3 linked regions of the Arabidopsis thaliana genome follow. The protein of the gene in region 3 interacts with the protein of the main gene of each other region in a pairwise test. Each region holds a gene or a part of one and is shown on either strand. Other genes may lie near its edges.

Region 1 (10,278 bases), on a different chromosome or scaffold from region 3:
CTCTTTATTGGATAACGTGGACCGTCCACACCGACAATCCATTGGTCGACGAAACGCAGAGTATTCGGACATGTACTATGTTTTTTATTACACTTTCCGAAAAAAACAAACCTTGTTCCGATCAAAGTCGGTCCTTAAAATATTGACTTGTTAGTACAATTTGCCGGCAACACCTTGGCTAAACGCGAACCGAGTGTTAATTACTATAAATTAACTGTAACTAAAATAAACAAACTAAAAGCTAGAGCTACTATAAATACAGTGTCGCAGGGGTTTGTGTAACTCATCAGTCCTCACAGCTAGCAAAGGAAAGTCTCGTTGGTAAATTAAAAGTGAGTCTTGAATACCTTGTTTGCGTTTTTCCTAAAAGATGGCGGATCATCCTCGTTCTACTGAGCAGCAAGAAGCTGATGCTGCAGCTTCCAAAGGCTGTGGGATGTTTGACTTTCTCAAGAAGAAACCCGAAGATGTACATTCTTCCGAGAATGCCCGTGTAACCAAGGAGCCCAAGGAAGAGGAGAAGCCTTCTCTCGCTGAAAGATTCCACCTTTCTGACAGCTCTGTAAGCTTAATTGTATACTCTTGTTCTTATGCATGAGAAATGTTAATAACACTTGTTGATGGAGGATGTGATATATATGTATATGCAGTCAAGTGATGAGGAAGCGGGTGAAAATGGGGAAAAGAAGGAGAAGAAGAAGAAGAAGAAGAAGAATGAAGTTGCTGAAGATCAATGTGAAACAGAGGAGAAGATTCCTGCGGGTATAGGCCATGAGGATGGGAAGGAGAAAGGGTTTATGGAGAAGATAAAGGATAAGCTTCCCGGAGGTCACAATGGAAAGCCTGAAGCTGAACCTCATAATGACAAGGCCAAGGAGAAAGGGTTTATGGAAAAGATCAAAGAGAAGCTTCCTGGTCATACCAATGATGAGAAGAAGAAGGAAACCTAGTTATAAGAAGACCCTTTTTTTTTTTACTTTCGCTTTTACCACTTGCGTTTTCATCTTCTTGTATTGTTGTCCACCTCGTTATGTGTCAGTGAAATGCCAACTTTTCGAATTGAACAACTCTTGAATCTTAAATAACTCATACTATTATAACATTGAAATCCTCAAGTATTTAAAACCTGTTGTTTTCATCTGTTAGTGAAAAAAACCTATGTATGTATGAAACGTTAAAACCCTAAATTTTACCACAAAAAAAAAACGTTAAAACCCTAAAACCGGCATCCAATAACCCATTAAACATATAAGAAGAAACCCATGCTTTCTGAGCAAGAAACGGTTCTGCTTAGTTAGGTTTGGGCTGACTAAAAAGGGCCCAAAAGGCCCATTTGAAATCACGGAAAATAGGAAAAAGTTCAAGGGGAAGGAGCAGCCAGAGACACGGAGAGTCTGTGTATGAAAGTGAAGGGAAAAGGAGATCGACGTCTCCTCTCAGACTCTCACGGGAAGAAGACAGTCTGTGACTTTTTGTGTTTCCAGCTGTTTTCATATCATTTCTCAATTCTCACTCGTATACCTGACAATTTGGGTTACCAAGTTGACCGTTGAAATTTGTGTTTATATAATAAGAATTTTGTGGACTATTACTAATTTACTAGTATTATTTTATACTTCCAGCATATATACATACATACATTGCTTCTTCATATTCTCTACGCGTTCAATCAATATTTCTCGTGTAGGCTGGCTATTTGTGCCAAAATACAACTCAAATTGTTTCACCCCAAAAAAAAAAAAGCAGATACAATAAAATAAAATTTATATAATTATATGTTAATTCTCATTTGTGTAAAATATTGAAGCAGCTTAAAATAAAATAAACCTCACAGTAAAAATGAAATAAAATACCTTGCAATTAAATGAGAATGCTTATTTTTAACAAAATAAAAAATAAATAAAAATCAATGCATCACCGGATTGGGATTTTATTTTCTTTCAAAAAAATAAAATAACAATCCCCAACCCAAAGGACAAAATAATGGGTATTTAATTAGTAGGTGGGGTGGCCTTATAATATATTACAGGTTGAAATAAAAACACGGAATTAGCTGATTGGAAAAGCTTCCCCCTCCCCATTGGACTTTAAATACGACACCAGAGTCATTTGTTCCGTTACTACAAAACAGAGTTGAAGCTTTCTCTTCCAACTTTATCTTCTTCTTCTTCTTGTCAAAGCGAGTATGTGCTGGTGGCTAAATGGGGCCGTTTGGACGATGATGATGATGACGATATCCATCATTTCTTTTGTTCAAGCTGATGATCCCTACCGTTTTTTCGACTGGAGAGTCACTTACGGCAACATTTCTCCACTTGGCATTCCTCAAAGGGTATTTTTTTTTTTTTCCAACATCCACAAAAATGGCGGGATGCTTTCTGTTTTTGTTTGCTCGATCATGCATGCTTTATATTCTATTCATACACGCAGGGAATCCTGATAAACGGACAATATCCAGGACCCGATATTTACTCAGTCACCAATGACAATTTGATCATCAATGTTCACAACGATCTCGACGAGCCCTTTCTCTTATCTTGGTACCATTTATCTAGCTCCCCTTCTCTACCATTTTCTTTCATTCATTAGTTATATTAGAGGAAATAGATATTGGAGTTTGGTAAATGGCATGATGGAGCCAATTTGCATGCACTAGTGTTGTTTCTTCACATTCTTGTTAGAGATTATATTGGTGGCGAGACGTCAAGTTTTCATGTTAATATAATATCAATGAATTAATATAATACAAAATGGTAAATACTAATGAAGGAACGGAGTGCAACTGAGGAAGAATTCTTACCAAGATGGAGTGTATGGGACGACTTGTCCAATCCCACCGGGTAAAAACTACACTTATGCCATCCAAGTCAAAGACCAGATCGGTAGTTTCTTCTATTTCCCTTCCCTCGCCGTTCACAAAGCTGCCGGTGGTTTTGGCGGTTTCCGTATCCTCAGCCGCCCTCGCATCCCCGTCCCTTTCCCTGAACCCGCTGGAGATTTCACCTTCCTCATTGGTGATTGGTTTAAGCATGACCACAAGGTATTTCTTTCTTGAATTAACAAATTATGTTCGTTTTAGTATTTGTCATTGTTATACAAGGACCATAATTAAATGTAACATTATTCAGGTTTTGAAGGCAATTTTGGATAGAGGACACAAGCTACCTTTGCCTCAAGGGGTTTTGATCAATGGCCAAGGAGTCAGTTACATGTCTTCCATCACCGTCCACAAAGGTTCATCCTAAAAACACTCAAATACTTTGATTACGAAGAAAAGCATTATATTATCTCATCATTTATTTTTTGTTGTGGAACAATTATCAGGTAAAACATACAGATTTAGGATATCGAATGTAGGGCTTCAACACACTCTGAATTTCAGAATCCAAGGTCATCAGATGAAGCTCGTTGAGGTAGAGGGAACACACACAGTCCAGTCCATGTATACCTCTCTCGACATTCACGTTGGACAGTCTTACTCGGTCTTGGTCACCATGGACCAGCCTGACCAAGACTATGACATTGTCGTCTCCACAAAATTTGTCGCCAAAAAACTCTTGGTCTCATCTACTATCCACTACTCCAACTCAAGACATAGCCACTCATCTTCTGCTAATTCAGTCCATGTTCAACAACCTGCCGATGAACTAGATTGGTCTATCAAACAAGCCCGGTCCATTAGGACCAATCTAACCGCGTCTGGGCCAAGGCCTAACCCTCAGGGTTCGTACCACTATGGTCGAATCAAGATTTCTAGGACTTTGATATTGGAAAGCTCAGCGGCACTAGTGAAGAGGAAGCAACGCTACGCCATAAACGGAGTGTCGTTTGTACCTGGAGATACTCCGCTAAAGCTTGCGGATTACTTCAAGATCAAAGGCGTTTTCAAAATGGGAAGCATACCTGACAAGCCGAGAAGAGGAAGAGGGATGAGAATGGAGACGTCAGTGATGGGAGCACACCATAGAGACTTCCTTGAAATCATATTTCAAAACCGCGAGAAGATCGTCCAAAGCTACCACCTCGATGGATATAGTTTTTGGGTTGTTGGGTGAGAATAATTAAAGATTAGCTATATCTATCGTCCTCTATATATAGTAGCTAGTAATAATGCATTGCATGCATCTGATGTTTGTGAGTACTGTCCACAGGACGGATAGAGGAACATGGTCAAAAGCAAGCAGACGAGAGTATAATCTTAGGGATGCTATTTCTCGCTCCACCACTCAGGTACAAATAGTTTCTAACTCCATATATCTTACCAAAAATTTTAAAAAATCATCTCAAAACTAGTATTTGGTTGTTGTAGGTATATCCAGAATCTTGGACAGCCGTATATGTGGCACTGGACAATGTGGGGATGTGGAATCTAAGGAGTGAATATTGGGCGAGGCAATACTTGGGTCAACAATTCTACCTTCGAGTTTATTCTCCAACACACTCTCTTAGAGATGAATATCTTTTGCCTAAGAATGCTTTGTTGTGTGGCCGAGCCTCCAATAAACACACCACTCCTTAATGACTCTACTCAGACCAATCGTCAATGGCTGATTTAGGGATATGTATTTTATTATATTGAGTTCTTTATTCTTTATAATTTCAATAGCTAGATATATGTTGCACAATTATTATATATACTTCAAAAATTGTAATGTATACCCAAATTTGATGAAAATTTTACTGTTTTGTAACGGTTATTGCTAAGTTTGAAGTTAATTTTTGTAGGCAAATGCAATGTTTTCATATGAATCAACCAAGTAACTCTACCATATCACCAAGCAAAATAGTATAGTTTGAAGAGAGAGAGTAAATTAAAAAAAAAAAAAAACCATACATAACATATTAGAAACATTAATTTCGAATAAACAGACTTTAACGATGAAATAAAAATTTAAATTATTATCCACCGGTAGATGTAGAATGTTTATTGGTATAGAAAGTTGTTCTATTTGGTCAAAGTTTTTGTTGACCTTGCAATTACAAATTACAAGGCTGTCAATCGAATGAAAAACATGGCAATGGAAAAGATTTGCTAATAATGCCAAGACAAACAAACGTTTATTTGGAAGGTTAAAAGCCTTTTAGAGAAGAAAAAAAAAGAGCAGAGAGTCAACTAATTAAGCCATGCATGTGAATCAACACCAATCCATAGCATATTCTAGTGATCAGTGACATTAATATTGTAGATTACTATATTAACCCGAATTCAAAGGGCATTAAATAGGTACTTTAATGAATTGAATTAAGAAGAGTAATATAATCAACGGCTTAGATTCGTTGCGTGAAAAAACCATAACCGAAAACAGCGGAATCCACGAAATAAGTAAGCCAAACGCAATCTAGACCGTACGATGTGAATACTTTAATGACGCCAGAATACTATGGACAGTGTAGATCAGGCGAATGGGCGTAATACACGTGGCGTAAAATCACGAGGATAGATATGGTGCAACGTAGTTCAGGCCGGTGTGGTACGAGAGAGTCTGATGATCCGACAAGGAATACTTCTAGTCCACACAATGTCAGCCTTTCTTTATTTTCTCGGTCGCTTCGAGATTCTCAATTCTGCTCTGTAGAAAAGATCCTGATGGTTCACTTTTAATATCCAACGGTTGATATAACACAAGCGCATGCTCCTCTTATGAGAACGGCCGTGGGATATAATTTAATCTCGCCGTTAAAAAATGTGACGACCGTGAGTTAACGGTTTATCTGTTACCAACCTCATACCTGTCCCTAACGGCAGAGGATAACGCCGTGAGTATGGATGGATGGGAGAGAAAAGAAGAGAGAGAGTGTGAGTGAGGAAATGAAAGGAGTCTTTTTTATTTGTTATCTCTCATCTCTCTCTCTCTTTCTCTCTGAGCTTTGCTTTTTATCAAACAAGCATCATCATCACATCCACTTCCTTCTTCTTCCTTTCTCTGTCTGTCTCTTAACCCAAATGTGGACTCTTTGAGCCGTTATTAGATCTCTGCCGCTTCAATAATGGGGAGCTTATCTTCTGAGGAAGACGACGAAGTCTCTTCCGAGAGATGCGGAAGTTACAGTCCCAGCGCCGACATTAGCGAGTCCGAGAGTTCCAGCAGCTTCTCCTGCCACCGCTTCGACGGCGAGGGTGCCTCTAGCTCCATCCCTTCTTCCCCTCGAGTTGTCGCTGGTAGAGGATTTTACTTCCCGGCCCCAGTCATGCTTCCGGTGATCGGCGGCAAAGATGTGGTCTGGGATGACAAACAACCAGACAACGATTTATCCGGTATAAAAGTTTCCAAATTTGACCTCTTTTGTAAACATTGATGAACACTAGGATTCAATTTCCCTTTTGTTTCCTATTGGGTTTCAGAAATTGAGATGATGAAGGAGAGATTTGCTAAGCTACTTCTCGGGGAAGACATGTCTGGTGGAGGTAAAGGGGTTTGTACGGCGCTTGCTATCTCCAACGCCATCACCAATCTCTCTGGTACCATCTCAATCTTCTTCCCTTTTTGTTAGTTGGTATATATAGTAGGGGTTTCTAGTTTTTTAATAAGGCTAGTGTCCACACAGCGACTGTGTTTGGCGAACTATGGAGGCTTGAGCCTCTTGCTCCTCAGAAGAAGGCCATGTGGCGCAGAGAACTTGAGTGGCTGCTCTGTGTTAGCGATTCTATCGTTGAGCTCATTCCTTCCATTCAGCAGTTCCCTGGAGGCGGAACTTATGAGATCATGGAGACCCGTCCACGTTCTGATCTCTATGCCAATCTCCCTGCTCTCAAGAAGCTCGATGCTATGTTGATCGATATGCTTGACGCTTTCTCCGATACTGAGTTCTGGTACACTGATCGCGGCATAGTTCTTGGTGATTGTGACAAGGATTCTTACAATTCTCCAGCTTCCGTTAGGCAGGAGGACAAGTGGTGGCTGCCTTGCCCTAAGGTTCCGCCTAACGGTTTGTCAGAAGAGGCCAGGAAGAAACTGCAGCAGTGTCGGGACTTTGCTAACCAGATTCTCAAGGCTGCATTGGCAATTAACAGTGGCGTGCTTGCCGAAATGGAGATTCCCGACCCTTACTTGGAGACTTTGCCCAAGGTATGCGCCTTCTCGAGCTCAAGGATTAGCTTTTTCATTGCTGCTGGAGCATAAATTCTTTTACCGTTATATGTGATTAGCTCATTGAGTTATGATTTTAAACTTAATGCAGAGCGGGAAGGAATGTCTTGGAGAGATCATCTACCAGTACTTAACTGCAAACAAGTTCTCTCCCGAATGCCTCCTGGACTGTCTTGATCTCTCATCGGAACATCAGACTCTTGAAATCGCCAACCGGATTGAGGCGGCTGTGCATGTTTGGAGACAAAAGAATGGGAGGAGGCACAAGAAGCAGGCGAAACTAAAGCTGTCTTCTTGGGGTGGCAAGGTTAAAGGCCTTGTTAATGACAACGAAAGAAATGATTTCCTTGTGCAGAGAGCCGAGACCCTCTTGCAGAGTCTCAGGATCCGTTTCCCGGGACTTCCCCAGACAACGCTGGACATGAACAAGATTCAGTACAACAAGGTACATTATAGTTTGGAGTGTGCTTTGCTGGTTGCATCATGAAACGATGCTTAGATAATTTAAGAGTTTGTGTGTGTTCTTGCAGGATGTAGGGCAATCAATTCTGGAGAGTTACTCTAGGGTGATGGAGAGCATGGCCTTCAACATCACGGCCAGAATAGATGATGTGCTTTATGTTGATGATGCCATGAGAAGATCCATCTCTGTCACAGAATCGCTATCCCTATTCAGCATCAATGGACTCAACCCTCAAAAAGCGTTCTCTGTGCAGAGCTCTCCGCACGGTTCACCATTTGCAACGCCTGCCCTAAGTGTAGCATCAAGAAGCCCGAGGAGAGCACCGCCGCTGTATTCAGTGAAGAGGAATGGGACGAGAGAGAAGGGAATAGTGGGAGAAACAGAGAAAGCATGGTCGTATGCAGGGAATCTGAGTTCAAGAAGAGTAACGGGAGTGACGCCGGAAAGAGATTAAGATTGAAAATAGAAGAATGTAAATCAATGGTTGTAGAGACTGTAGTTGTTTCTTGTTTGTCTGACTACGAAGACGAATGTGGTAATAGCAACAAGAATGTTATCTTATGTGGAGTTTTGAAATGTTGTTAACAAATCAATTCCTTAGCTCATTTACCAAGTTTACAAAGATTATGGTCCAAGTCCTAAAACTGAATGAACATCACATACCCGTCTCTTGAGTGATTTAATCATGTTCTTCATTGCACTAAAGCGACAACTTTTGGTTCAAATATAGACTATGACTATATGGTTTGTTTTGCACAGGATTAAAGTTGATGTTCCAATTTTATAATTAAAAAGTCAGAAAGGGGTTTTCTTGTTATTTTTTACTTGTTCTTATAAGCTATCGGGACGACACGGAGTTTTAAAGAGTTTTCCGTTTTGCTGAGCGGAGGCGAGAGAGGGTTTAGAGTGATGGAGCAAAGTAGCGGGAGAGTCAATCCGGAACAGCCGAACAACGTCTTGGCGAGCCTTGTCGGGAGCATCGTGGAGAAAGGAATATCGGAGAATAAGCCTCCAAGCAAGCCGCTTCCCCCAAGGCCCTCCCTTCTTTCCTTCCCCGTCGCTCGTCATCGTTCTCACGGACCCGTAAGCCAATCCAATCCTCTAGTGCGTGCTTTTTAGGTTTCCATCTTCCTTTTGTTGCCTTCTTCTAGATTTTAAGCACCTTCTACTGTTGTTTAGTACTTGGGACTCCACAATTTTTCACCGTGCCTGACCTTGTAATTCAGCTTTCTGAGACATCTAATTTTTGTTTCTCATGTTTGATTTTGTAGCATTTGGCTCCTGTGGGAAGCAGCATAGCACAACCTAAGGATTACAATGACGATCAGGAAGAAGAAGAAGCAGAAGAACGTTTCATGAATGCAGACTCCATTGCTGCTTTTGCTAAACCGCTTCAAAGAAAAGAGAAGAAAGACATGGACCTCGGGAGGTGGAAAGATATGGTCTCTGGGGATGATCCTGCATCCACACATGTCCCTCAGCAATCAAGGAAACTTAAGATCATTGAAACGAGACCGCCCTATGTTGCTTCAGCCGATGCGGCCACTACATCCAGCAACACTTTACTGGCTGCCAGGGCATCAGACCAGAGAGAGTTTGTTTCTGATAAAGCACCGTTTATTAAAAATTTGGGAACCAAGGAAAGGGTTCCTTTAAACGCTTCTCCTCCCCTAGCTGTTTCGAATGGACTTGGGACTCGACACGCGTCTTCGTCTCTTGAAAGTGATATTGATGTTGAGAACCATGCAAAGTTGCAGACAATGTCACCCGACGAGATTGCTGAGGCTCAGGCTGAGTTATTGGACAAGATGGATCCTGCACTACTCTCCATTTTGAAGAAACGAGGTGAGGCAAAATTGAAGAAGCGAAAGCATTCTGTGCAGGGGGTTTCCATCACCGATGAAACAGCAAAGAATTCAAGAACTGAGGGTCATTTTGTCACTCCTAAAGTGATGGCAATACCGAAAGAAAAAAGTGTGGTGCAAAAGCCAGGGATAGCCCAAGGATTCGTGTGGGATGCATGGACTGAGAGGGTTGAGGCAGCCAGAGACTTGAGATTTTCTTTTGACGGGAATGTTGTTGAGGAAGATGTTGTCTCGCCAGCTGAAACTGGTGAGTAGAACAATACAACTGAAACACATGACAATCTTAGGTTGCTTACACTTTGACTGTACAGGTGGAAAGTGGTCTGGTGTTGAATCTGCTGCCGAACGTGATTTCTTGAGAACCGAGGGGGATCCTGGGGCCGCAGGTTACACTATCAAAGAAGCTATTGCTCTTGCACGAAGTGTGGTATGTATGATTGCCACATATTTTAATTTTGATGCTAATTAATGGTTAAATTCTTTTTTCCCTCCATTTTGGCTTTAGCTGAACAAAACCTGTAGGCTGAGACTGCGTTTTTTTCGTTATCACTGCTCATTGATTTGTATGTATTATTGATATATATATCAGATTCCCGGGCAGAGATGTCTTGCTTTGCATCTGCTTGCATCTGTACTCGACAAAGCTTTGAACAAACTTTGTCAAAGCAGAATAGGCTACGCAAGGGAAGAAAAAGATAAATCCACTGACTGGGAAGCCATCTGGGCTTATGCCCTTGGACCGGAACCTGAGCTTGTCTTAGCATTGAGGTAATTTCCTGATGGGTGTAATTTTGAGACTTATTTGTGAAGTTGTCACTCATAAATCATAAATTGTTTGTTCTTATCAATATAAGTTTCTTTT
Region 2 (10,278 bases), on a different chromosome or scaffold from region 3:
ATGTTTGATTTTAGACATGGTGGATCTAACCAGAAGCTTTTGATGGATAAGAAACGTCGAAGCAAGAGAATCATCATAGGTTTTTGTTCTTCTATCTTTTGAGTCATGGAAATGTGTCTAAAACAAAAAAGATTCTCACTTTGTTGGTTTGATGAAACAATGCAGGTAATAATGGAGTGTTTGAGACTAAGGTTGAGAAGCAGCTTACTTGTGACTGTGACTGTGATGAGGTCTTTGTTAAGTTTTTGTTGGATTCAAGAATCAAACTTGCTTTTTTTGTGTAAAATGCCAAAAACTGATGTAGATTGTTTTGTGTTGTTGTCTCAGGAGAGTGAAGCTGAAATGCAGAGTGTCAAGAAACTCATAGAAGCTGAGATTGATGAGAAGACTACGCAAAAGTGTGAGGCGAGAAACCGAAAGAGGAGAAGTAGGACCTGCAGCAAAATCAGTGAAGATATCAATGTTTTGATTGCTGGTGATGATGATGATGATCATGCAGAGAAATCAGATAATGAGTGTCCGATAGTTTCTCATAACGAAGTGGATATGGTAAATGATGATTCCGAAGAGAAGTTCAGCGAGTTGATAAAGCGGTTGATAGCTCAAAAGGAAAGCGAGGTAGAGAGCTGCAAGAAGAACCTGGTGGATGCATTTCAGGTCTTGGATTCTAAAGAAGAATCATTGAATATCGGTACACCAACTTCGGGAGATTCTCAGAGAATCAAAGAGACACAAACAATTGTAATTTTGAAGCCTGAACCAAATACCTTGGATGTTGGATCATCGCCTGGAACACCTTCTACAGACAACAAGGCCAAAAATGAGAAATTCAGTTCTCGCTTTAGTCTCAGTAGAATCAGAAGAAGACTAAAGTTTGCGGTTGGAAAGAATCCATGCAATGCTCAACATGACTCTGATCCTGATCCTGATGCAGATGCATTGTCGTCTAGCATGAGTCAAAACTGTTGTTTGGGAGAAGAGATAGAGACCAATCCCGGGTCGGATGGAGAAATCTTGCCTGACATTGCTTCAAAAGGTGAGGCTAATAAAGAGGATACTTTCCATGAAAGTGAAAAAGATTCCAAGAAGAGTATGTGTGGCATATACATTGCTGCCAAGAAACACCTGTCTGAAATGCTTGCAGAAGGAGACATAGATGCTGACTTACCGGATAAAGAAGTACCAAGAATCCTTGGGAAGATTCTTGCTCTCCCTGAGTTCTTCACACCAGAAAACAGTCCTAGAGTGACCTTGGCACTTGATCATCAGATAATCGAAAAACCAAATATTCAGCAGTGCAGTTCAAAAGATTACTACTATGAGCCACTTCGACTGGATTCAAACAACCATGAAGAAACAGAGTTTATGCCAGTTCCGGAAGGTGATTAATTTTCTTCTTTTCGTTTGATCTGATTCTTTCTCAGCTTTGTCAAAATGAAACTAATTGCTTTTGATTTTGTATGTCAGACACTAGGATGGAAGAGGAAGAGCAGACTGTTATGGATTCGTTGTCTGAAGCAATTAGCTCTTCCATTATCCAACAAGATGCATATATTGATGAGGATGAGCACAAACAACTTTTGGAAAAGGTTTGATGAATCCTTTCTTTTGTTGATGATACATATTTCTTGAAGGAAGGCTCATATTTCCTGCTTTATCATGTTTTCAGGAAGTACTCAAAGAGGGACAATCACCGTGTTCTCCACCAAACTCTTCAGTGAGAATGTCTGAATGCCAAGAAAACACCACAGATGTATTGGGAAAGTCAAGTCCTGTATCTGTGCTTGAGCCTTTCTTTACAGATGATGACACTAGTCCAAACAGCTCCAGGTTCTCTTCAGGTGTGCCTAGAAAGAATTTGCAACACCATTTCAGCATTCTAGTAAAACTTTTGTTCAAATCTTAGTCTCTGACCTTCTTCATTGCCTCATATAGCCGAAATGCGGATGCAACCACTGTGCATAAGATTCGACGAACCTGATTTTCCAGGACCGGAGAAAGACAATGATGTCAAAACAAGAATGGACGACAAGGAACTGGCACTTGAATACATTCAAGCCGTGGTGAAATCATCAGAGTTGAACTGGGAAGAGCTTTTGGCGAGATCTTTTTATTCGGAGAAGATTCTTGAGCAGGCTCTAATGGATGACATAGATTTCTGTTCGACAAATCTCTGCAGCGATAAGAAACTCCTTTTTGACTGTATCAATGAAGTTCTTATGGAGTTTTGTGGACATGGCCCTTGGATTTCATTCGTCAAACCTGCAATGCACTTTTTTCCAGACATGGAAAATGCTGTTGAAGTGGTACAAGAAGAAGTTTACTGGCATCTCTTACCTTTGCCATCTCCTCACACACTAGACCAGATAGTGCGGAAAGACCTGGCTAGGACTGGAAACTGGATGGATCTCCGCTTTGATATTGGTTGCATCGTTTCTGAAACAGGTGAAATAATCCTTGATGAACTACTAGAAGAGATAATCAGCAATTGCAGAGACTTGGTCCAACCTGAAAGAATCAACAAGCTGGTTCCTTAAATCCCACTGCTCCAGATCACTACCAGAAAGTAAACTTTTGTTCGAGAAAGACACTCATGGTCATCAAGAGGCTCCTCTGTTTACTCTGTACAGGTTCACGTCCACTTCAATGGACAAGCTCTAGTTTTCAGTTTTTGTGCAGATACACACAACCACAGCTTTTAATACCCCAACGACTGCAAAAGAAACTCTTTGTCTTGTTTCTTTCAGTCCTTATTATGTTTTCTTTTCCATTTGGCTTCTGTAAAGTTTTGAGTTCTGTTAGTTGTATGTTGTTGTTATATGAGGATTAATAAAACAAGGCTTGAACTTAAACAAGAAGACCATCTCTATTGCTTCATTGTGTTTCAGTCAAGAAACAATCCAAGACAAAAAAAAATTGACAGATTAAGCTCTTTGGCAAATTAGGGCCACTAGTGATGATTAAAGAACATCTGAAATTAAAGATCTTCTATCAACTGTGTGTGGTTGAAATTCTTGTTCACCCTCATTTGGTATTATTGGTTCAGAATTCCTTTTAAAGATTCAGAAAATCATAAGAAAAAAACATACACATTTGTTTGGTATTCTCATTACATCCCAAAGAACTTAATCTGTTCTCAAAAGAAAAAACTCAGTATGAAAAACCCTAATCATCTCTGTTTCTCACTGTTCTGTCGACGTAAAGAACATCATCAATCCACGACACAACATTATAAGCCAAACCTTCTAAAACCCTTGAATAGCTCTCCAATACCGCCTTTCCCACATCCTAACCAAAAAAATAAAACAACACACAAGAATATTCAGCATATAATTTCGATATTTTCCATCGATATCTTAATTAAAACAATATGCAAAATGGCTGGGGCTACTCACTCGGTTAAACTGAATCTTGCAGATGTCAAGTGAGGTCTGAGAAAGTTCAGGGTATCTCTGTTTCAGACAGAAGAGTAAGCTCCTGGCTCGAGCCGCAAGTATGTGGTTCTTGTCATTGCCACGATCTGCATCGCCACTGATATCTTTCATCATGTCCCATGAGGACTTAGAGTGAGTCAATCCTCCAGTCTTACGCCTCCACGTAACTAGTGAAGCCTCAACTTTGTCGGCGAGCTCAAGCGCCTCATGCTCAGATGTGATCTTCAAGATGTCGAGAAGCTGGTCGGGATAAAACTTCTCGGCTGTGCACAGTTGCTTGTAAATCACGTCTCCTACACTTGCTTTCCCACTCTGTACATAAAATCAAACAACACCGAGTTGATTTCAAAACTTTCACATTACATTTATATGGAAGTCGCAAGTTATCCTTTTATACCTTTGGAAGAGTGGTGAGGTAAGAATCAGGAATATCCATGTCATTAAGAGTGGAATCGTTAATGGCCAATGCTGCTTTATGTATCTGACTGGCACAATCGCGTTTGTGACGCAAATGCTTTCGTTCTTCTTCAGATAAACCTTCAGCAGGAACACATGGCACCGGAAGCCACCATTTCTCGTCTTTCCGTTGAACCACCACTTTCCTAAACGTTCCTGAATCTCTACCACCACCACCCGAGTTCATCGATGAGCTTCCTCTTTCAACATACCAGAACTCGTTTTCCGTAAAACTATCCAATATTTCCTACAAAAGTCAAACAAGTCGTGTTGGAAATCTTTTGAATCTTGATTATCTATCAGTCTAATTCGAGTCTTATACTTACCATTAGCATGTTATCGAGTTTTCTCAAAGCAGGAAGACTCATGAGAATATCAGATCTTAGCTTTGTTTCTGTTATCTGAAATTAAAACATCAACGCACCGGTTTTTTAGCGTTTTAAATTGTGTGTGTCAAAATTAAGATAGTGTTGAAATAGTATTTTACCTCAACGTTAGTACCAAGAGATCTTGGAATAACTTCGACAATGTAATCACAAATAGACATGAAACAATTCATCTCTCGTTTCCATAAGTCTTTCTTCTCTGTACTCAATGGTTGTAACCTTAAACTCTGTCCAAACACAGTCGCTGCAATAACACAACAAACACACGCTACACTATAAATACTCTGTTTTGAAAACAGAGCATATTTGAAAAGAGAAGAAGAAGACAAACCATAGAGATTGGTTATGGAGTTTGACACAGTAACAGCAGTACAAACTCCTTTCCCACTTCCTGACATGTCTTCACCAAGCAACAGCTTCGCAAATCTTTCCCTCATCATCTCTAGCTCTGCACTAGAAACCCCGATTTAACGAAATGACAAAAGAAGAAAGTTACAATCTTAAACACTTTACCTGCATCTTCTGCAGAATCAATGTCGCTGTCTTCTTCGTCTCCATCTCCGTGGACGTCGTTGACGACATCATCTTTTGGTTCCTCGGCGTCTTCGGAGACATCTTCTTCATGGCCACTCAAGACAACAGCGTTAGTGTTTGACGGCCGGTTATAAAAGCTCTGAACGTCGAACCGGTGAGATAATCCGGAGATATCTGAGTATGTTCTCCGGTACGGCGAAGAAACAGAGCTCGTCGGAGTTCCCTCATTTTGGTCGGAATTCGAAGAACTCTCCATCACGATTGTGTATAATGATCAATGTTTTTGGTGAGTTTCAAGTTCTTCTCTTTCGTTGTTGGCTCCTCTGGCTCTGATGAACGTGACAAAGATTAATACATGGAGTCTCTTCCTCTTCAGCTTGAGTTATTATTTAATGACTAAAAATTAAGTTATGATTGTCTCCGACGAATGATGGCCGTCCGATCTGATTGTGGGGGAGAGACGTGCCTTCCACATTTGGCTAATCAAATCTCATAATGAACGTTAGTTGCTATATATGCGTTAGGTGTATAATTAATAAGTAAAGGTTGTCCCATTCATTTCTAATTAAATTCTAAATGACATTTACACCATGTTATTGCAATTTTCAGAGAGTAATGTTACTATTGGAATTATTATTTTCGGTTCACATGTTTTTAGTTACAAATTATTAATGTAGACATAACAATTAGAATCACATCGTATAAATGTCATTTACTAATTTTTTTTTGTAGACATTAAATATTTTTAGATCATTTTAATAATAATAATCTCAAATTTGTAATTGTCATCAAAATTAAATCGGATTTACAACATCTTTTAATGACATTTGAGTTTGTTTTGTAACGAATGTTTTTGGTCAACTTTTAGTTGACATTCAACGTAAACCCTCGAGACAAGGAAGAAGGTTCAAGCCAATGAAGCCATGGTCAATGTCTAAGACTTTACTTTGGTTTTAAAACCGGGATGAAGTCCACGTCTACAAGAGTAAAACGGCACGCAGTTTGTGAACACTGTTTTCAAACGACCATAATTAGACATCACATCATGCGAACTGTGTCTGGTCAGGCAAGTCACGTGACTATCTCCCTGCCTTGCCTTGTGCGCCGCAGAGTGCATCGTAATCTCGTGATGGTGGTGGTGGCACGTGCTTCCCTTCACACGTTTAATGAGCCCGTCTCTACTCTTCAATTGGTTTACGCACACACGCATAGTTCGTGCCAAGCCTTAGCTTCACACACTCCTCTTTCTCTCAGACACGCTCGAGCGCTACACACGCGCGAAAGCTCGTCTTCCAATTCACGCTGCACGCTCCTTCACGCGCTTCCTCCATCTCACGGCCAGATCCGCCTCTTTTCACCCGCCGGAGATCCACCGTCTTCTTCTCCTCTCTCTTGGTTTCGCTGACGGCGACAGAGGGGGAAACCTTTGATCGGAAGCTCCATTTATAGGGTTTTTTAGTATTGCTCGATGATTCGCCCAGAGGGCCGAGAATTCTGACCAATTTCGAGAGGAGGCTTGTGATTGTTGAAAGAATTGTGCTTAGTGTCTCTTACTCACAGAGGTCAATGATATATGGTTAGGTACTTAATCTCAATTGTGCTTGAAATAGTCTCTGTTTGGTTTCGTTAGTCACAAAAGTTTTCCATTTTAATGTCTGCAAATATGTTTGTAGTTGAAAATGCTGTTTATATGTTTGATTTTTGTCTTGTAGGATCTTTGATGAAGTTAAACTGAGAGCAGCTTATGCACATTGAGAGATTGAAGATTAATTTCGTTGATACTAAAATTATCTCCAATTTTCTAACTAACTGTAAGCAAGGAAATATCATAGAATATTTGGCTGCATTGTCCAGAAGGATTACACGTGGAGTGTTAAAACCAGAGAAGTAAAGATGGAACATTTCATCATAAGAGGGCAATAACGTTCTTAAACTAACAGAGGTTTGGGTGGTTGGGTTATAAGAGAAGTAATGGCGACGGATATGCATAAACTGCTTGGAACTAGTGAAGAGGATGATGACGAAGAAATGGACATGGATGTGAAGGAAGAAGATGATGGAGACCGACGAAATAGAGACAAACACGCAGCTTCAGGCAGTAGTAGTAATGACGAGTTTATGTTTCAGCAGTCAATGCAAGATCAAGTGGGCACTCCTGGGGGAGGAGGAAGTCGCAGAAGTAGACCGCTTGAAGAGAAGGAGCGAACTAAGTTGAGAGAGCGCCATCGAAGGGCTATAACTGCAAGGATACTAGGCGGGTTACGAAGGCATGGGAATTATAACCTGAGAGTTAGAGCTGATATTAACGATGTTATCGCGGCTTTGGCAAGGGAAGCTGGATGGGTTGTTCTTCCTGATGGAACTACTTTTCCATCCAAATCTCAGGTACTTATATACCCTGTCCCTGTGTTATGTCTTTTGTTGTATGCTGCAAAATTCTTCTACTCTTAGTTGTCAGAAATCATTAGCAGTAACCTTGATCCTCGGTTGGGGAAAAACTCCTGACATATCCATTACCAGTGAAAGCTAAATCATCTTCTTGATCTGCTCAACCTTTTAGGGGACAAAGCCTACTGGTGGTTCTTCTGCGGTTGCGGCAGGTTCATCAGCTTCTCACATTGCATCACAGCAAACCTCACCTCCTGCTCTTAGAGTGGTATCATCTGGGCTTAGAAGCCCAGTGGAACTCAGCTCTTGCCGTATGAAAGGTGTTTTCACACCCGCTCCATCACCGTATGATATGCTCCCAATCCAATCTCCAGAACTGGTTGGCAGTGTAAATAAGGCTGAGGGGCTTGTTGGTTGTTCAGTCGATGTTATCAACTCTAAACAAGTAACGACACTTTACTAGTACATAGAAAATAAATCTTGTAACAGTTCAGTCCTTTGCATTTACATAGCTTATTTGAAATTAATGAATTTGATAGTTTCCTCAACTTGAGAAAAACATTTTCAAAATCTGAAAATCTCATAAGAACCTGTCAGATTTTCACTGCATGGTTGATTTACGTGCATACACATATCTGGGTTCAATTGTGATGACTCTCTTCCACTTTTGGTATTTGGTAGATTCTCGAGATTCCTCCAAATCTGACGGAGCAAGATTTCTCTGGCACTCCTTATGTTCCGGTTTATGTGATGTTACCAGTAAGCCACTTTAATCTTAGCATTTACCAATAATATCCTGAAATTCATCCTTACTAACTACATATCCTGTTCTGTCAACAGCTTGGGGTTATCAATATGAAGTGTGAATTGGCTGATCGAGATGGACTGCTAAAGCACTTACGAATATTGAAATCAATCCATGTTGATGGGGTTAAAGTGGATTGTTGGTGGGGAATAGTTGAGGGTCATTCCCCCCAGGAGTATAATTGGACTGGTTACAGGCAGCTTTTTCAGATGGTCCGCGATCTTAATCTTAAGATACAGGTCAGTCTTTTACCTGCATGATTGGTTAAGATACAGTTTTCTTAATGAAGTTGCGTTAGAATGATTGTTCTCAAGCTTCATATGTATCTCACTTTCTTTCTTTCTTGCTAGGTTCTAATGTCCTTTCATGAATGTGGAGGCAATGTTGGTGATGATGTTTGCATCCCACTTCCTCATTGGGTGGCAGAAATAGGACGAACCAATCCGGACATATATTTCACTGATAGAGAGGGAAGACGAAACCCAGAATGCCTTTCTTGGGGTATTGACAAGGAACGTATTTTAAGAGGCAGAACTGCACTTGAGGTATAGATACTGTGTCCATGCTGTGTCTTTTCTTTACACATGAATATTTGCTTCTTGTTATCACAGATATTTGAAATAACCAACTCATGAATCACTTTTTTGGTGAATTTATTTCTAGGTGTACTTTGATTACATGAGAAGTTTTCGGATAGAACTTGCAGAGTTTCTAGAGGATGGTGTAATATCTATGGTTGAAATTGGACTAGGCCCCTGTGGAGAGTTACGGTACCCTTCTTGTCCCATAAAACACGGGTGGCGATATCCAGGTGTTGGAGAGTTTCAGGTATATTTCCTTTCAACAATCTAAATTCTTGAGATACTCGAGCTTCACCAGCTAACTTACCTTTTTGGCTTCCACATGATGACCATTCCTTTGCACCGGTACAGTGTTATGACAAGTATCTCTCGAAGAGCCTGAGAAAGGCAGCAGAATCAAGGGGGCACCTGTTTTGGGCTCGAGGCCCAGATAACACCGGCTCCTACAATTCTCAGCCGCAGGGAACCGGTTTCTTCTGTGATGGAGGTGACTACGATGGCCTCTATGGAAGATTCTTTCTCAAATGGTACTCACAGGTTTTGATAGACCATGCTGACCAAATCCTCTGTCTCGCTAAACTAGTCTTCGACAGTAGCTGCATTGCAGCAAAGGTGATTGATTTAGTTTTCTAAGGCATTTGAAACCCTGTAAATTTTAGACCTTTTGTCATAATTTCATCACAATTGACTTAAACAGCTCCCAGACGTCCACTGGTGGTACAGAACAGCAAGCCATGCCGCTGAGCTAACCGCTGGATTCTACAACCCGAGCAACCGAGATGGTTATTCTGCAATTGCATCTACACTTAAGAAGCATGGTGCCACTCTGAGTTTTGTATCCGGAGAAGTGCAAGTTCTAAACCGTCCAGATGATTTCTCAGGAGCATTAGGAGAACCTGAGGCAGTAGCTTGGCAGGTAAAGAATACACATCATATCAGTTTCTTAAGCCTGTGCTTATCAGTTATCTCCAAAACCTCAATCTAAACGTGATTTTTTTGCAGGTATTAAACGCTGCTTGGGACAGCGGTACACCGGTTGCTCGAGAGAACTCGCTTGCTTGCCATGATAGAGTTGGTTATAACAAAATGTTAGAAAGCGTTAAGTTTCGGAACGATCCAGATAGAAAACATTTGTCATCATTTGCCTATAGTAGACTCGTCCCAGCTCTCATGGAAGGACATAACATTGTCGAATTTGAGCGGTTTGTCAAGAAGTTGCATGGTAATTCTATCGGAATCTTTGTTTTCTCTGTTTGAAGAAGTCTCTGAAGTTTCTGATCTTTCTTCTTTGGTCGTTACAGGGGAAGCTGTAATGAATCATCATCATCATCATCATCAACAGGTTTAGAGTTTTGTTTTGTCCCTGGATCTGCTGAAATTATTTACTGTTAAATGTTGTTAATTTTAGTAGCTTACCATCATTTCTGTAAATTTTGTCATTAAAAAATTAAGGCAACTACTGTACAAGCTTACAAAGAAAATTCAAATAATATGGGCTTTATTATTATTGGGCTAACATCAAGAAAAAGAGATCAGCACCGACATAGCTCACGAGGCATTCTTCCTAACGTAGAAAACCAAAAGGTCCCACATCGACAAGCATAAATCAGATGTTTGTGTATATATGTTTTATAAATAATCAGTACCACCAACCAATATTCACTCAAGGATTATTGGGCCTTTTAATTTTGTTT
Region 3 (10,278 bases):
ACAAAAACAAAGTTAATAGTGAGATTTGTTCAAATAAAGTAAATCTTTCAATAATTCTGTTGTTGAAACTTGTCAATGATAATTCTTGCATTACTTTTTTGATACACATTTCTAAGTGTCGGGTTAATTATAGTTAAAAAAAATTAACAACTTTCTTATTTTGGTTTATACGATTTCCCAAATATAATACGGTAGCTGTGGGATTTTTTCCCAAGTTTAGAGATGATGGAATGGATTATGATGTTTGAGTTCCAAAACTCCCAGCTTATACTACACTCTTAATTAGTTGAAGTTGCAAAATATATGGTACTCAAAAGATGATGTTTCATACGCTTTGGTCTAATTTCGAACCATCAAAATTTTACTTTACTCTTTTTAATCCTTTTCTAGTTTTTTTTTTTTTGTTTAATGTCCATATGATTTTGATTTCAAGTCGAATGTACATTAGAATATATAAATTCCTTGTGAATTCTATTAACGACACGGATGTTATTCTTTGTAGGCATCATTTGAAATCATCAATCTCTTTTGATTTTATATTAAGAATAATATAAAAACGATTGGAGAATCTTATTAAGCATACTTTATTATAGTATTGTCCAAATTATATACATACGCATCAAACAAAACTAGAGATAACGAGAAAAAAACACAGAAAAGATAATTGTCACGTCTACTTTTTTTCTTGTAGTCCCGTGATCCATATATAAAAACAATTATAAAGATACTTTAACTTTAAAGATAATTTGTTATCGAATTTAGTGGGACATTATATATTCTAGTGCCTGATAGAGTGATAGGACTCGAGATTTAATCTCGGCACTAAACTTCTTTAATACGATTTCATTAAGATAAACAAAGTTATCAAGCTAATACTACTATTCAAGAGGAAATGTGTATATTTTGACTTTCTAATACACTGAGTCATGTTTGTTCTAATTCGACATTTTGTCAAAAACCAGTGATGCATCGTTTTCAATTTATCAGTGTTTACGTCGGTAATAACTATAGTACATAACTATTTTGACCTAAACTCAGTTTTCTATTGCCGACAATTTTTTTATTTATCATCTTTTTTTCTTCTTCTCCAGATAATCAAATACTACATGAACTAAAAACTACATAAAAACAGTAATGTTTAAATTGATATTTTTCACATTATAGATGGACAATAGCAAGTGTAGCAACACGTACGGTTACCTGTTTATACCCAAAATATACTTCTGAAAATTATTGAGTCTTTAATAATTGGGATATATTCAAAATGTCATGCATGTTTTGTTGAATGGATCTCTTCAAAATTTTCTCGAAGGTCATATACACACGTTATCCATGATAGCCTTTAAAGCAACACACAACAGTAAAACGAGATGTGCATAGATTATTTACGTCATTCATATGTTACACATAATTAAGTTTGAATATCCGCCACGTGGATATGAAAGAAAAAAATTCGTAATTAAATTTGATGGTTAGCTTGCTAAATTGTTTGAAGGAATTTTTTGGCACGTGATGGAAAATCTAGCCTGAAACATTATAGTAGTAGTGATAAACTATTGATTAGTCAATCAAGTGTGTAAGCCACTTGATATTAGTGAGAGCGAGTTTTCATAGTATTTTTTAAAAACACCACCGATAATGACCACATAATCATTGAGTTTGGGAGACTCACAAGTTGGTGTCAAGTTGATAATGACGCGATATTCTGAATTTTTTTTTTGTATTATCGTAGATCGTAGTATTACTTTTGTCTTTAGTTAATACATAATGGCCATTACATTATATAATTTAGTCTAAATCAGTTATGGTTTAATTTGTTCCGAGTTTCTTTTTGCCACAAAATTAGTTAACACAAATGTCCACTAAAATAACTATAGTCCGCCGAATTGGGAGCATTATTGACCTGTGTAACTCAGTCAAAATCGGCCTAAAAAGTGTGACAATATTTTTTTTTTAAAAGTATGCTAAGAAATTAAAAGCCGAAAAATAAAAATGGAAGAAATATGAATTTAATTAAGAAAAAGTGGGGACTGGGGAGAGTAAGCACATGGGGTGGGAGAAAAATCTTTCTGGCTTTACTTTTGGGAATTACGCAAAACTCTCTTCATGTGCCATTCTTTACTTTTTCCCCCACATAATTCCATTTTTTTTTTCAAGATTTGCAATCTCATCGAAATTAATGGCTAACAACACATGATGAATATGATTGATAAACAAACATTTTCATGAAAATTTGGTGCATATGAGCTAAAATGTTGAAGACAAAAAAATATATACATAATTGTGGCTGAAACGATGGGTAGATGTAGGGTGTGAGCAAGAGAGACACATGCATGATGCACCCAATATAGAATCTTATAAAACATTGGCTAGATGAGATGGACAAAGTCCATTTTTACTCTTTGTAGTCCAAATAAACCGAATCCGGTTACAAATCCTAGTATTTAGAGTTCATAATATGGTTGTTGTAGATGCATTAAGAATATGATATATTTGTAAATTAGCTAAAGGTTTATGTACATTTTAGATTTCCTTTTTAAAATTGTTAAATAAAGCAATGACATGGTTGTAACTATTAAAATTTGTCAATGGTAAAAAGAAGTTCAAAAGTGTTACTTTTCTTAACACGCGTTGATAGTGTTATCCTTACAGCACTTTTTGTTTTGTTTGAATGAGCTAGTTATTATACTTTATAAGTAGTATAATCTCGAATAAAGAATGTGAAATTTTGAAGAGGAAAAAAAAAGGTTGGCTACTTGGGTCATGGTTGGTTTAGATTAACGAGCCCTCTCCCTGCTCTTCCTGTCATTCTCTCTTCCCCATACCCAATAGAAACTTGTGTGTTGTAACTCCGATCTCACCAACTCAAATAAATAAGTAATCATGTTCTTGTTGTTTCTAATTTATGACTTGATGTGTAAGTGTCGCATATCTTTTAACCTTGTCCGGTTTATATATTTCTTTTGCTTTCTTTTACGAAGGAAATGGTCTTAAGTAATAAAAATATGCTTTTATCTGCCTAACAGAAAAGCCTGCTTTCACGTCAAAAAGAAATCAAGAAAAAGTTGCTTTTTCCAAAAAGAGCTAAAAAAAAAACAGAGAGAGGTACACCGGAAAAACAACAACAGAAAGAGTTACATTTAATTTGGCCCGATTAAAGCCCATTTATGCTCTTACAGGCTCTCTCGGACCCATTGACATTTGTTCTATTATGTTTAGATGAAACTCGGCGTTTTTTTTTTTTTTTTTACTCCGTTATTTATTTGCCTTTGGGACTGGTCTGGTGAGTCCAGTGGTCGTTTCTCGTGTACTCGAGTCTCATCGGAAAGTCTTCGACTGAGTTCGTCGCTTCCATCTTTTTATGGCTTAATCTCCTTTTTTTGGTCAGGTGGAAGATAAAAAAACCTTTGGAACTGCTGTCTCAAAATCTTGAAGACAATGTGTCATTGGAACCGACTGGAATTAGCCTGCGACTACTGAAATATGAGACTCTTATGTAGAAAGTTTTAATGTCTATGTCAAGAGAGACAAAGTTTGGTCAGTTGTACTTTGAGGACAGTGATTTGACTGACACTGGACAATGTAACGACAAGAGATCAACATTAACAAACAAAATAAAATTACTTGATTGCTAATGTAGGACAATAACTGCTTGTCTTCACAGGGTTAAGCGAAGGAAGAGAGAGCTTCTCTGTTGTATCAAAATGGCTAATATATTGCAATAACAGGTTTGAAACAAATAAACACAATTGAATTAATAATAAGCTCTCTACCTCCCCCTCTTTCTCTCTTCAAGGTAACTATTGATTGATTAGAGGCTAATAATCTCTTACATGATTCAATCTATATAATATAAAGTCTCTCGTTTATCACACAATCTCAAAAGTGGAGTTTAAAATCATCAGACTGAGTTGGGTCATCGTCATCAATGCCGAGTCACTATCCTCCCACACAGAACATTTCTGCACATACAAAATAAACACAAAGGTGAAATCAGTACCCTTCATAAGATTGTAGATGCAGAGTTTGTAAAGATTTGTATATATACTCACGATAAACAGCCGTGATTCGACTTTTGCTTCTTCTTCTTCTTAGTCTTCTCCTTTTGTTTAACCAGAGGTTTGATCACTTCCTTTATCGCAGAATCAAAAACTGCTTTCACATTCTGCAATATATAAACTTCATCGCTTTGTTAATCCGAAGAAAAGAGTAACATAAAGAAGCTGCCTCATATACCTGTTGAGTTTTTGAACTACACTCAATGTAATACGTCGCACCAATTAGCTTACGCAACTCCTCTCCCTATCAGATAGAAATGTTCATTTAGTTAATACCATCAAGCCTTATAGTGGAATTATATGAAATCTAAAGTAAAAAGGCTCTTTAAGACTAAACCTGTGCAGTAGTTACAGGGGATAGTCCAGGATGATCAGCCAAATAATGCTTATCTTCACGAAGATCTACACCAGTGTTGTAAGAATCATTAGCTATGAATTGTAACTAAACGGTTAAGAGGAATCTGTTGGTAAATGCTCATCGGTTATTCTTACCTAATTTGGTACCAACAAGGACAAGGGGAACTCCTGGAGCAAAGTGTTGGAGTTCAGGGATCCACTGACTCAATAAGAACAGTCATATAACATTAGAAATGACTCATTCTGACACTATAAGAGTCTTATCGTTTTCAACAATTAGAGAAAAGGATCATTTATTCAATCAGACCTTTTTAAAAACATTCTCGTAGCTAGCTCGGCTGACTAATGAGAAAGACAAGACGAAAACATCTGCTCCCCTGTAACTTAAAGGCCTTAATCTGTTATAGTCTTCTTGCCCTGCAAACAAAGGATATACATATGTAACCTCATATGAGACAAAGCTATTCAATGGATCTCATTTATCAACCAAATGAAAGAACTAGACCAATAAGAATGTTATAAACCACTATAGGATTCAAGACTCAGAAAGAGTGTTCATACCAGCAGTGTCCCAAAGCCCCAAATTGACAGTGGTGCCTTCAACAACAACATTTGCACTAAAGTTGTCAAAAACTGTTGGTATGTAGTCCTGTTACAAACAATTCATCAAATCAATACACAGTTTCAAACTTTCAATCATCAAATCAAGCATATATACATATAATAATAATAATAATAGCAATGAAGAAAAAGTCTGACGAATCCAGACTCCAGAGGATGTTAAATGAAAAAAGATAACATAAAGCTGGACTATACACAAAAGCTGCAAAAACCCAGATGCGCCACACATACTTATGAAAAGTAAAAAAAATCAAAATCTCCAAAAATGGATCTTATATCATGCACAGTTCCTAGGAAAAAGGAGCTAACTTTGACATACCCAGATAGATTCTAAGAACCTTTATGGCAATAAGAAGCTGAAATTTAGTAGACCCAGATACTGAAATTGATTAAAATTTTGTAAAATTTGAGCTAAATCTGATAAATCCAGATGAGATTCCTGATCAAAATTCAAGAGAGAAAGAGAGGTCTTTTTAAAGAGAACTTACAGTGGGGAATTTATTGCTGGTGTAGCAGATGAGCATACAGGTTTTACCAACAGCACCATCACCAACAGTCACACACTTGATGAACTTTGAAGCACTTGAAGCCATTTTGATCTCAAAACAAACATACAAAGCAAATACCAAAAGGAAGCAAAAGAAATAGAGAGAGAGAGAGAGATAAATGAAGTGAGATTACTTAAAAAGAGGAGTAAAAGATAAATAAACCCTCTTTAGAGCATAGAAGAAGGTAGGGTTTGTTGCATAAATTTATGGCTTTTTTTTCTGTTCCTTTTTTACTTTTTTCTGTTTGTTTTTTCAATATTTCCAATTAGATAAACGAAATTGTTTATTGGTATTTGGTGGCTTGTTTTTGGTTTGAACTTGAAGATAGAGAAAGAGCGGTGATGACTCACATGATCCATCGTCCAAGCTTTCCTTTTCCAAATTCTTGTAGTTCATTTATTACTCCAACGAGCAAATTTGCATTGGAATTTGTTAACCAAATCTTGGTGGTTCAATCTTGTTTTTTTTTTTTTAAGTGTTTATTACACTTGTATTGGATTGTAAGAAAATGAAATAATGTGTATTACATACAAGTATGGCGTTACGAATCGAATTATAAGAGAAGGTAGATATTCGTCAAGTTAATAATAGTGTCACGTTGAGCCACACAGTGACAAGTGAAGATGGATATACCATATTTGTATACATTAACATGTACTGTCGAATACATGTTTTGCTATTTTTGTTTTTCTCTCGAGACTTACATATCATATAATGTATATAGCATAACTTACAAGCTAGGGTTACAAAATATATAAAATAATAGAATATCATAGCAACAAAAATTTATAGCAAAATCACTAAGACCAACCTTTCAACATTACTTATATCACAATTCACAAGTGTAAAACTGATAATTCTAAAATTGTAATTTTAGTTTAGGATATTCATTTATTATATTAGGATATATGGATTTTTTTATGTGGACCTACTTTTAAAAAAACTTATCATCTAATTTAATTTACTCAAGATATTTAAAATTGCCAACAAGAGTTTCGTTGGCAACAACCAGCAATAAAAATTCTCAATATTCACAAAGCAACTTTTAATACAGTTATTAAAAATTGAATACTCTTACCAAATAGTTCCTTTTTGTTTGTTTATGGATATAATTGCAGACTCATGGTTTAGAAAGTAAAAGTGTTTTTGTCATGTGTTTAAATAATCATTTATAGGTGGATGTTGGAGCCAAACTGTGTGAACATCTACCAAAAGCAGAAGATAAATGATTTTATTTTATAAGGTAAGTTAATTATTGGAGTAATACCTACGACTATATCGACGGCGACGCAACCACCATAAATATGAAAATGCAAAAGTATTGTTAACTAGAGAGGTCTTCAAAAGGACGACCACGGGAACTTATCGCTCTCTGGTCCAATATTTTAGTATTTTGCAAGTTATTTCCACCAAAAGCTCCAAAATACAAGTACAAATTAAAGTAGCTGATTAATAATACAATACAATGACAAAAGTATGGCCTAAACCAGATAAATATAGAGACTAGTAAGAACGAAAATCGCAAAAGGAGACTAGTAATCACATTAAACTAAATCAATATATGTGTATGTGTGTACAAGTGAATCCATAACTTTTGGTCTCTAAGGAAGACATGTAACAGGAGCATATGTCGTGCTGGTGTAAGGATAGCGTCATTGAAAAGAAACAAGAACAAACGATAAATATATATTTCCACAACAGTTGATGCGCGTAAAAGCAAAACGTGATTAACAGTGGAAATTATCCATAAAGTGAAAAAGACTTGAAGATCACAAATCCGAGTTTTGGCAGTAAGAAATATGGTTATTGGATTTGAAGTTGGGTTAATATTGAAAAAGTAAAAGTTTTTTCGAATATATCATATGAACTCAACAAACAAATGCAACGGGCCCGACAACTCAATATATGGGCCACATCCGAAACGAGCCGACCCACGTAATGGAAGTCCCTTGCCAGGTCACGTGTTTTCTCCCTCTTTGTTCCTATCGGTCCCTTCTTTTATTGTTTTCTTTAATTTGCTGTTTCTTTTGGTCTTATGAATTTTGAACCATTCTTATGAATCTGAAGGTGAATCGATTCTTCGGTACAGTTTTCTCTCTAGAACATGTAAATCGTTATGTAGTTCCTTAATAAATTGAGAGAAACGAAAAAATGTATTTGAATGTTTTGATCAATGATCGTCATTCGTTTATGGCTTCCAATAGAAAGGTTTGAAGTTTGAATTGGGAAAAGTGTTGTTGGTTCATTACATACTACCCCAAACGATTGATAGTTTCTTCTCTTTACTCGGCTTTAACGGTAACTATATCTTTGGAAAACAGAAAAGTTTTTGAGTGGAATTTTAAAAATGAGTATAGATTATAAAAATAAAGAAATCATGTCAAGCAACCATGATTAACTAAATCATTACTTCCACATATGCTAAACAGCTAATTTACATAAAATTATATTATATTAGCCACAACAAGTTCAATATCCCCTCAAAAAAGAAACAAAATATTGCTTCTCTTTCAAGAAACATAAAATTTGGTTGATAAATAAATTAATTAAACTGGGAAAATAATAAAATTAATTCAAAGTTGATTATATAAACAGAATGATTAAATAAGAAAACGCGACAGACTCCAAAAACGATGTAAACCAAACCAGTCAACCATTTTGACAGCCTTTTCCCCGCCGCCAGAAACGCAAACGCGTTTCTCACACGCGCCCACTAACTTTCAATGATCTCATTACGCGGCGTCAACGCAGACAACGACGTCGGCGAAATCGCCGGAGCTTTACCTGAGTAAACCGGGACAGAAGCGAATCGGGTCGAGAAGCTTCGTAATCCACCTAGTCCGACGTATTCATCCTCCTCGTCGTCGTCATCGAAGTTCAAAGAGTAACTCAAAGGATCGTATTGAAACTTCTCGCTTGCGTCCCAATCGCGGCCGCGTCGTGGATCGCGATTGAATCGACGAATGAAAGTCTTCCACCGTGGACCAGCAACGATTTCTGACCACTCTCGGATCTTCAAGGATGCTCGGATCCACCAACGTGGCTCGTCGCCGTGGTCGCCGCTGTGATTACTGTCATCGACGGTTCGAATTCGTCCCCAGGAGGAGTAACCAACGGCGGTGGAGCTTCTTGATCGGCGGAAGCTGGGGAAACAACAGCAACGTTGATCGTACCGGGTATCAGGATCTCGGGTTGGGTCCGACTGCGAAAGTTCCATGGGCCGAAACTCAGAGAAGTTTTTTCTTGGGTCAAAAGACTCGTGATGATAATATAACTTGATTCAAGTTTTAGCTGTAAAGGATTATGATTGGTCCTATTTATTATATGCACACTTGACACTTGTAATATAAATTAAGAAATTGTTATTTTTTCTATGTTATTATATGCACACTTGACACTTTTACGAATCATGGCTGTAAATATTAAAACCTTAGAAACTCAATTATCGATCAACACGATTGAGAATCATAAAAAGTGTTAAACAATTTCTTAGGCTGGTGAAAACGAGTCTTAGAAAAAATAAATATCTTGAGCTAGAATCCGTTATAAGATAGTTACTTTCCTAACAATGTTTTTAGGAATACACTTGATAAAACAAAATTGATATTTATTATAAAAACTACTATTCACTAAGGGAACGAGTTGAACAAATGTGATCCGGCGGGTACAACAAACTAACATTTCGGATCATAGTACGAGGGGTACAAAGATTGAGCAGATGTCACTGTCTTTGGCATTATCACAATCTCACCATTAGGACTGACACCAGCGATGCAATACCTAATTTCTCAAATATCATCATCTTAGACCATTCTTGTTGCTCAATATGATCTTCCATAATCCACATCTCTGCACTAGCTTTGGTGTAACGTATGCATCCTAATTTTCCTTGGTAGTTTACCAAAGTCAATTCATCGAAACTCACTTCACTGAGCTGCTGATTCATCTGCAGAGTTATGGGCATCTGAATACGATCAAAGCTTTCGTGTCTAACGTCGAACCTCACTAGCTCATAGAATTCGGGATCATCCCAGCTTTCTACATGTGCTATGTAATAGATAAACTCTTTGATACATAAACCACTACTCCTAGCTTCTGGAGAGTGATTCCAAATGCCTTGGATGTCAAGGCTCCTCCATTGCTGCTTCATTGGACCTCCCACTAATGTGAAAACTTGTTTCTCAACTGGATCATATCCGAACAATCCATCACACGAGTTGCTCCATCTATCGTGTTTTACCTCCGGTAATAAAATCGTTTTCCTATTGGTATGTTTATAGATCGAGCTTGACCAACAACAGAAGAGTCCTCGAAAATTATTGATACTTAAAATCCCAACTTCGCCCATGGTTTAATGTATAATTACTGTCTTTGTCTGGGTATATGAATGATATATCATTAGTAGGATAAGTAGAGGGCGAGAATAATGACCGAGTCATGATCAAGAGGGTGATACGAGATGACCACAGCTTCGATACACATTGGAACCTCACAAGTGACTTAACAGGGAGTCTCGAGAGTATATCGGTTATTACATCGAAAGGGATATGTATACCGTTTGAATTTTCTCTCTCGGAGATTTCGTTCTGACGTTGTTGTCGTCGTTTTGGAGATCGTGAGGTCTTCTTCTCTTGGCGTCCTCTCTTCATGGTGTCAGTTTTCTATTTCATTAAACTTGAACGAAGAAAAACACA

What was found.
Region 1: the proteins of RAC10 (region 3) and ROPGEF1 interact in binary tests that used the Arabidopsis thaliana proteins (3 or more experiments, as listed by UniProt).
Region 2: the proteins of RAC10 (region 3) and ROPGEF4 interact in binary tests that used the Arabidopsis thaliana proteins (3 or more experiments, as listed by UniProt).

What each region holds. Positions count from the first base shown.
Region 1 is NC_003075.7:17,980,655-17,990,932, forward strand, and holds ROPGEF1 (rho guanyl-nucleotide exchange factor 1), read left to right. Parts: upstream 1-5,729; 5' UTR 5,730-5,988; coding exon 5,989-6,256; intron 6,257-6,343; coding exon 6,344-6,460; intron 6,461-6,546; coding exon 6,547-7,067; intron 7,068-7,179; coding exon 7,180-7,533; intron 7,534-7,618; coding exon 7,619-8,005; 3' UTR 8,006-8,215; downstream 8,216-10,278. Other genes in the region: AT4G38410 (Dehydrin family protein), read left to right, coding at 371-562, 651-950; sks9 (SKU5 similar 9), read left to right, coding at 2,186-2,332, 2,431-2,540, 2,770-3,040, 3,129-3,234, 3,325-4,051, 4,152-4,230, 4,310-4,519; IYO (RPAP1-like, carboxy-terminal protein), read left to right, coding at 8,461-8,634, 8,823-9,663, 9,728-9,843, 10,006-10,184. UniProt on the Arabidopsis thaliana protein: Guanine-nucleotide exchange factor (GEF) that acts as an activator of Rop (Rho of plants) GTPases by promoting the exchange of GDP for GTP. Acts downstream of PRK2 in the control of polarized pollen tube growth by activating ARAC11/ROP1.
Region 2 is NC_003071.7:18,878,328-18,888,605, reverse strand, and holds ROPGEF4 (RHO guanyl-nucleotide exchange factor 4), read right to left. Parts: upstream 5,230-10,278; 5' UTR 5,067-5,229; coding exon 4,790-5,066; intron 4,725-4,789; coding exon 4,608-4,724; intron 4,521-4,607; coding exon 4,378-4,520; intron 4,292-4,377; coding exon 4,217-4,291; intron 4,138-4,216; coding exon 3,832-4,137; intron 3,747-3,831; coding exon 3,396-3,746; intron 3,289-3,395; coding exon 3,166-3,288; 3' UTR 2,877-3,165; downstream 1-2,876. Other genes in the region: TRM13 (Phosphatidylinositol N-acetyglucosaminlytransferase subunit P-like protein), read left to right, coding at 1-79, 166-230, 328-1,381, 1,468-1,589, 1,670-1,841, 1,936-2,537; BAM7 (beta-amylase 7), read left to right, coding at 6,782-7,195, 7,371-7,643, 7,880-7,957, 8,039-8,242, 8,354-8,548, 8,667-8,831, 8,936-9,196, 9,282-9,500 and 2 more. UniProt on the Arabidopsis thaliana protein: Guanine-nucleotide exchange factor (GEF) that acts as an activator of Rop (Rho of plants) GTPases by promoting the exchange of GDP for GTP. In association with ROPGEF1, acts as a specific regulator of ARAC10/ROP11 function in ABA-mediated stomatal closure.
Region 3 is NC_003076.8:25,232,587-25,242,864, reverse strand, and holds RAC10 (RAC-like 10), read right to left. Parts: upstream 5,903-10,278; 5' UTR 5,630-5,902; coding exon 5,525-5,629; intron 5,065-5,524; coding exon 4,977-5,064; intron 4,833-4,976; coding exon 4,723-4,832; intron 4,615-4,722; coding exon 4,551-4,614; intron 4,461-4,550; coding exon 4,396-4,460; intron 4,303-4,395; coding exon 4,237-4,302; coding exon of another isoform or gene 4,166-4,236; coding exon 4,053-4,165; intron 3,963-4,052; coding exon 3,926-3,962; 3' UTR 3,603-3,925; downstream 1-3,602. Other genes in the region: AT5G62865 (uncharacterized protein), read right to left, coding at 8,298-8,801; AT5G62860 (F-box associated ubiquitination effector family protein), read right to left, coding at 9,324-9,824, 10,078-10,233. UniProt on the Arabidopsis thaliana protein: Involved in local disassembly of cortical microtubules when associated with ICR5 and KIN13A.